2 linked regions of the Drosophila melanogaster genome follow. The protein of the gene in region 2 interacts with the protein of the main gene of each other region in a pairwise test. Each region holds a gene or a part of one and is shown on either strand. Other genes may lie near its edges.

Evidence for each region. Proteins that work in one complex are often made in the same cells at the same time.
Region 1: the proteins of RpL32 (region 2) and wus interact in a two-hybrid assay, tested with the Drosophila melanogaster proteins (one large-scale study listed by BioGRID).

What each region holds. Positions count from the first base shown.
Region 1 is NC_004354.4:16,939,207-16,942,964, forward strand, and holds the start of wus (wurst), read right to left. Parts: upstream 1,668-3,758; 5' UTR 1,298-1,667; intron 786-1,297; 5' UTR 768-785; coding exon 1-767. Other genes in the region: CG13001 (uncharacterized protein), read right to left, coding at 2,369-3,376.
Region 2 is NT_033777.3:30,044,593-30,048,026, reverse strand, and holds RpL32 (ribosomal protein L32), read left to right. Parts: upstream 1-1,886; 5' UTR 1,887-2,105; coding exon 2,106-2,137; exon of another isoform or gene 2,138-2,165; intron 2,166-2,240; coding exon 2,241-2,340; intron 2,341-2,402; coding exon 2,403-2,714; 3' UTR 2,715-2,798; downstream 2,799-3,434. Other genes in the region: CG7943 (uncharacterized protein), read right to left, coding at 1-123, 191-320, 384-937; Sry-delta (serendipity delta), read right to left, coding at 3,247-3,434.

The sequences.
Region 1 (3,758 bases), on a different chromosome or scaffold from region 2:
CAGTAGATGATCACGGCGGTGGTTAGCTTAAAGGTCCTTTCACCGGGGCTTCCCCTGCGCGGCGGAGTCCTGCGCCACTGCTTGGACAAGCCGTCGAAGGTCAGTGCCGCCACGAGACCAGTGAGCAGCAGGGAGTAGGTCTCGTCATATATCAAATACCTGGCCGGATACGCCAGATAGGCGGCCACCAGGCAGTGCCACCATACACCCTGCTCCCGGCCAATGTTGCCCACCAGCCAAACGCCCAGCGAAACAAACAGCGGAATCGTCCAGTGTAGGAAGCTCAGATCCCAGCCACCGACCAGGGTCTCCGGAATGGCCATGGAGCACACCTGGCCGAACAGATGGCCGATCATCACCTGGCCCACGAATCTCTTCGAGGAGTACGGCGGTTTCGGATACGCCTGCAGCTTGGCCACGAACATCTTGACGAACTTGGGATCCTCGTTGGCATCCCGTACATATTCGGGTATCAGGAAGAGCTCGCCCATCCAGCCAATGCCCATGTAGCCACCCAGGGTGCACCACCAAATGAAGGCGTGGCGGTCACGGTGCAAGTACAGATGATGCAGGCCGAAGATTCCGCCGAAAAGCCAGCATAGATAGGCAATGACCACCGATTTCTGGGGCGGCAGAGCGTTCATCTCCTTGCTTTTGGTCTTGCCTTGCGCGTGGCCATTGGACTTAGCCTTCGAGGGAGATCCTTTGGAGGTATCGTTGGTCTTATCCTTTCCAGCCACTGGAGATACTGTCTGCGTGGTGCCCATGGTGTTCCAATCGGATTACTGCAAGGGAAGGGGGCAAAATTGTTATGATAAACGGAATAATTCGGAAGTAGTTTTACTAACAATATTATGGAAAGAGGACAACTTTTAAAAAACAACATAACATAATAAACATATGTATATTGGTAGTACAACATTAACGATTATTCAAAAAATTGCAATTATGAAATAATTAATTAGCTTAATATATTAGCGTAATATATGTTGAAATAGTGGCACGCTGAGCAATAACATAACAAGCATATCTAATATACAACACATAACAATATATTAAAATATATATGAATATTTTAAGTAAAGTAACACGATTTGATGTAGCACATTTAACTGATTGAAGATAAGCTTTACGTATTTTAAATCAACGAATAAAGAACGGTGGCCTATAAAGAAAACTCTTATGAAGACTACATACAGCAAAGAGTTTCGAGGATATATAATTAATTTATTGTTATTATTTTAGTTCCAGTCTTTAAACATCACTTTTTGGGCCACTTTCCGTGAAAGATACTTACCCACTTGCGATCGACCTCGATTTCTTGTGAAATTGTCGCTGCGCAGGCGCAACTTCTTGGCCACGACTGTGCGAAGAATTGGAGAAAGAGAGGCGGAGAAAGACGCGGCGCAGAACTTTCTCTTTTCACAAATTCTACGCACGCAGCGACAACAAGAACAAAAACGACAAACTGATCCACAAAAACAAAAAAAAAAAAGAAAACCAAGTGCACTGATGCGTTCAATTTGAACTGGTTGTTGCTATGTTTCACTAAAATTGCAATTGAAACAATTTGAAACAATACGAATTTGTTGTTTTGCGGGCTGGATTAAAAAATTGAATAAAAATCCGAACTTTTTGCTCGGCTTAAGCTAGGTGTGACCAAGTGCAGGGACAGGCCAAAATACCATGGATCTAAATTTTAGTACGTTGTATATCTACAATACTCTTTAGTTCACAAACGATGTATGGCAAATGTAAAATGTATAAAATATAATGCAAGTATATAAACATCAGTTATAGTTATTGTATTAAAATACACACATATAAAATCAAATCCAATAATCCAAATAATTTAATCTATAACCAAAAGAACCCATTTAAAAATGAAATATTTTTATTGATATTTGTGTTTTTTTTTTGCTGCTTAAATATAACATAGTTGCATATTTAGCATGGCTTACATGTATAAACAAAATTTTTGTTCTCGATAATTTGACACGTTATTTGAGCTTTTAAAAAATACTTAGCCTATGATTATAGTTAAAATAAAAATCAAATTCATTGAGTTTACCAACTAAAATTGTTATGAGAATTTGTTAGCGGCCGGCGTGTCATGAATAATTTCTTCATCGATTTTCAAATACACTAGTAATGTATAAAATATTAATGCAAGTATTTGACATTCTTTTAAATCTTCTCCGATAATCATGAGCACACCCGCCTTGCGTCGTTGTAATACTTTTCATTGGGATTAATAATAAATAGATGAGGCAAAAAAAAAAAAACGCATTCGATTTAGTGCGCTGAGTTTCCGGAACCAGCTCCGGACTTAAGATGAGTGTAGTTGCTGGTCTGGAGCGGTGGCCACTTAGTTGTTCTTCTTCTTGGGCTTCTTCGGATTGCGGGAGCGCGACTTGGCCTTGCAGAGCGGACAGATGGGCGCGTTCCGGTGGATCTGCTGGTGGCAGGACAGACAGGACTTCATGGGCGGCGGCTGCTGGCGGAGATTCACATTGAAGTCGGAGCGGAACGAGGGATGGTGGCCGATGCCGATCGAAGGCGATTGCTGCAGTCGATTGCTGGGCGGCGGCGGTGGCGGTGGTGCTGAGAAGTCACCCTTGCCCAGACGCACTGCAGCAGCAGCGGCGGCGGCAGCAGCACTGCCTGCTCCCGGCGGTGCGGGTGGCATGAAGGCGTGTCCAGGATTGCCGCCACCACCGCCTCCGCCGCCCACAGATCCTCCGCCACCGCCTGCAGCGCCGCCACCACCAACGCCGCCCTGTCCGCCGCCAGAAGGCAGCGCGGTGACCGTGGCCTCCGGCATCAGAGGATGCCGGGCATGCGGACGGGCCAACGACGAGTTCTGATTAACCGAGGCCGCCGCCGCAGCTGCAGCAGCTGCTGCTGCCGCCGACTGGGCGGCCACCTTAAGGAAGTTGGTCTGGAAGCGATCCTTCGAAATGGGACTGCCCTCCTCCTCGTGCAGATCTCGCAGCGGGCTTAGTCCGAGATAGTCGCGGCGCATGTGATCAATCTGGTACTTCAGGGCCAGGTACTCCTCGTACACCCGGTTGGCCATGTCGAAGGAGCGGGTCTGGTTCTCCTTCGTCTGCTTGATGATGTTCTCCATGTCGTTGATGTCCGCGTGGATCTGGCGCAGCTCTTCCACGTGCGACATCTTCTCCTCGAGCAGGTGCTCCATCTCCTTGCGGTACTCCTCCAGGCACTTCTCCTCGTCGTCGCTCAGCTTCACCTCCTTGATGATCCGCACTTTGAGCTTCTCCAGCGACAGCGTCTTGTCCCTGATGTCCTTGATGGCCTCCAGTTTGGCGTAGTAGTGCCGCTCATTGGAGCTCGAGATCTCGCTGGTGGCCATTGTAGATCCAAAACGATCCGTGTGGTATAATATGTGTATTTTCGAAAGACTCTCGAGTGTTTTCTGTATGGCCCCCTCCACTGGGCGAATGTTTATTTTGCACTTTTTCACTAGCCTAATAGTTCGATGTCGGATTTTCCGGCCGATTCTTAAGCATCTGATATGGATGATCGCGTCTTTTGGGATAATCCTTTGGAATGGCGCACTTTTAATTGATTTTTTCTTTATTTATTTGATTTTTTCTCTGCTAATGCTAATACCATTTTTTTCTGGTATACAATGCAGTGTTACCAGAGCGTGGAAGTAATTTTTACATTTAATCACGACCAGCCGATTATTTGCTATCGATAGCTGGCAGTGCGGTATATATCGTTTTTTAAAT
Region 2 (3,434 bases):
CTGGCCCATCTCACTCTGCAGCGACACCTTGATCACATTGAGCGGGTAGAATATTGTGCTTATGCTCGCACCGATCACGGCGCCCGCTATGAACTCCTGCACTGTTCGAGTGGATACGGATTTCTGTGGATGGGCAACGGATTGGTTAGTATCTTAGTAGGTTCGTATGTGTGATAGGGTCAACACTCACTCTCTTAGGCAGCCGGACGCTGGCCTCTTCTCGCAGTACGAAAAATAACGCGTTGGACAGGCCGTTGCGCCAAAATACTGGTTCGAGTCCCCTGTAGAGCTCCCGGTAGCCGTGGTGGGAAACCACATACCTGTGGAATGATTAAAAGCCATAAGAAGATCCCATTAGCAAACTTAAAGATCCGTCAGCTCACCTGAATGCGTTTTGTGTGTTGGAGAAGTGCTGGTGGAACTTGGAGTCCGCGAGGAGGGTTTGCACCCGTTCGAAGGGCAGGAGGATGGACTCGGCGCTGCCGGCCACCACGGCCGCTAGCACCTTGGCCCCGTAGTCGTTCAGGCGGTAGTCCTCCACGAGGTACCTCCTCGTCCCGTCGAACACACCGAACATGATGGACAGGGATATGGTCTTCTGGGCGAGCGGCGGCAGCATGCCGCGGTACAGGAAGCCCAGTCCCTCGTGACGCAGCTGTGCAAAGGCCGAGGTGATGGGCACGCCGTGCAGCATCTGACGGAAGATCATCTTGTAGATGGGATAGGTGACCGCGATGTTGACGAAGGCTGCTCCGCAGCCGCAGGCGAACTCCTCCCACTGAAAGGAGCCGAAGAAGCGCTTCGAGAAGACGCTGCCATGCAGCAGTTTCCCCGCCTCCCCGTCTCCATGTGGGCTGTGTGCTCTTCCGGATGGAAACCTTTTAGGGGGCGGTGGGTCGGTGGTTTTCGCGACGTTTGGTGCTCCATCGTCTTTCATCTTGCTGCTGTCCTGTGTTTATTTCGGGCGTGTGGAGAAGTGCGCATTTGTCACCGCGTTACCATTGTAACTATTCAAACACGGGGATTGCGCTGGTTTGGTTTGTTTTGGTTTCGATTCGCATCGGTTTTAATTATATAATAATGAAGAAGAACCACGGTTTGACGGCCACGGCCAGTGTGACCGTCGCTGGACCTCTGCTGCATACCAAAGGACTCTGTTATCCAAATTGTTCACAAGCCAACCAAAATTAATTGTCGAACTTAAATTAGCAGCGGCGGCTTTGAGTTTTGTACTCGCCCTTTTCGGTAATTTACAAACTTAATATAACACCGTATAATTAAAATATTCTTAGCAGTGCGTTTAACAGCACTGTCACTTTATTTTGACCGAATCACCCTGTGTACTTGTTCCACTGACGCAAAGACCACCCTATGGATCAGAAACTTATCATGTGCTGGTATGCATTGGGTGCTCTAAATCCACGACTTGGATGCTTTTGTATTAGCCTCCTAAACCTCGGGAACACCTGCTCCTTGATCGCTTCTGTCAGCTTTTTACTTTTTCATTCCCAGCTTTCTTATCGTTTTTTATCAGATGACGGTGCTGCAAAACATCTATTGAACAGCTGTTGCATCCAGTGTGTAAATGAAATATGTTCACACTGCACAGTGGGTCAAGAGGCAAAGCATATTTAATTATATAACAAACTCCACCAAGCTGAAAATAGTTCCATATTTTGTTGCACATAGTTGCAATCGTCGCAGTTGCTCGGATAGTGATTAAACCTGCAACACCTTATTTGACGCGCCCAAGTTTAAATTCATTACACGATGATCCGCAATATATCGCTTGGCATCGCCATGAACGAAACTATCGGCGAATCATCGACGCACGACGTATCGATGTTTTTTCACACCACCAGCTTTTTCTTTTCGCTTCTGGTTTCCGGCAAGGTATGTGCGTGATTTTGGGCCCACGTGTATTTCCATTAATTTTAAGCCGTAATTGTCGTTTTTGGCGGTTTCGAGTTGAACTGCGTTAGTCCGTGCGCTGTTCGCAAGTGTGCGGCTCGTATTTCGACCGAATTCGGATCGATTCCTGTGAGAGTTCGCCAAATGGCTTCTGTTTGTGATGGGAATTCGTGGGGCGACACACCGGAAACTCAATGGATACTGCCCAAGAAGCTAGCCCAACCTGGTTGAATTATGCATTAGTGGGACACCTTGTGTGTTATTAGCTTGATAAGTGATATTTCCAGTGGGTCAGTGCACTAATGGCTACTTTTGTTGTGTCCTTCCAGCTTCAAGATGACCATCCGCCCAGCATACAGGCCCAAGATCGTGAAGAAGCGCACCAAGCACTTCATCCGCCACCAGTCGGATCGATATGCTAAGCTGTCGGTGAGTGCCAACGAGGATTGTGCCAAATTGTACCCGTGTTTAATCAACATGTCTCCTTGCAGCACAAATGGCGCAAGCCCAAGGGTATCGACAACAGAGTGCGTCGCCGCTTCAAGGGACAGTATCTGATGCCCAACATCGGTTACGGATCGAACAAGCGCACCCGCCACATGCTGCCCACCGGATTCAAGAAGTTCCTGGTGCACAACGTGCGCGAGCTGGAGGTCCTGCTCATGCAGAACCGCGTTTACTGCGGCGAGATCGCCCACGGCGTCTCCTCCAAGAAGCGCAAGGAGATTGTCGAGCGCGCCAAGCAGCTGTCGGTCCGCCTCACCAACCCCAACGGTCGCCTGCGTTCTCAAGAGAACGAGTAAGCTTAAGATTCTTGAGAGTTCTTGTAACGTGGTCGGAATACACATTTGTAAACGTTAATATACCGGACTTTTAGTTAAAAAATGATGTGCGAGTGCCGAGTTCAATTGTCATTTCTGAGATTGGGATAGCAGCACCATTGATAACATGTGCATTATCTGGATGGATATCAGTTAATCCAGACCATTGCGGTCTTTCTTTCTGATAGCAACTGCCTCGAGATATTAGACCAATATAAATTCCTTGACGTGCCAAAACTAGACAGCATCAATCCTTATCAGGGAATTTTGTTATATATTTTACATTTTTCCCCCTTAGTATTGAAAGAGGTTGTTTATATGAAATCATATATATATTCGCAATTATTTTTACAGAACAGTGTACAATTATTATCGGAAATGCTTCTGTCTAAATGAAACGCAGTAATTGAAATACCAGTAAATTATATTTTGTAGGAATCTACAATAATCAAGTACAAAGAGGAGGAAATACACTAGGGAAAGATAAACAATTACTTATTGTAGGCAATGTAGCTTATTTCAAGACCACGTCGTGATCAAATTGCAAGTGGTGTTCGAGCTCCTTCTTGTTCTCGAAGTTGGTATTGCAAATGAGACAGAAGCCGCTGTTCTCATCGTTGTCGGACATGATGACGGTGACGGCCGCCTCCGATTCGTCGACGTCCACATGCAGCTCCTCCACCACCTGCTGCTCGTCGGCGG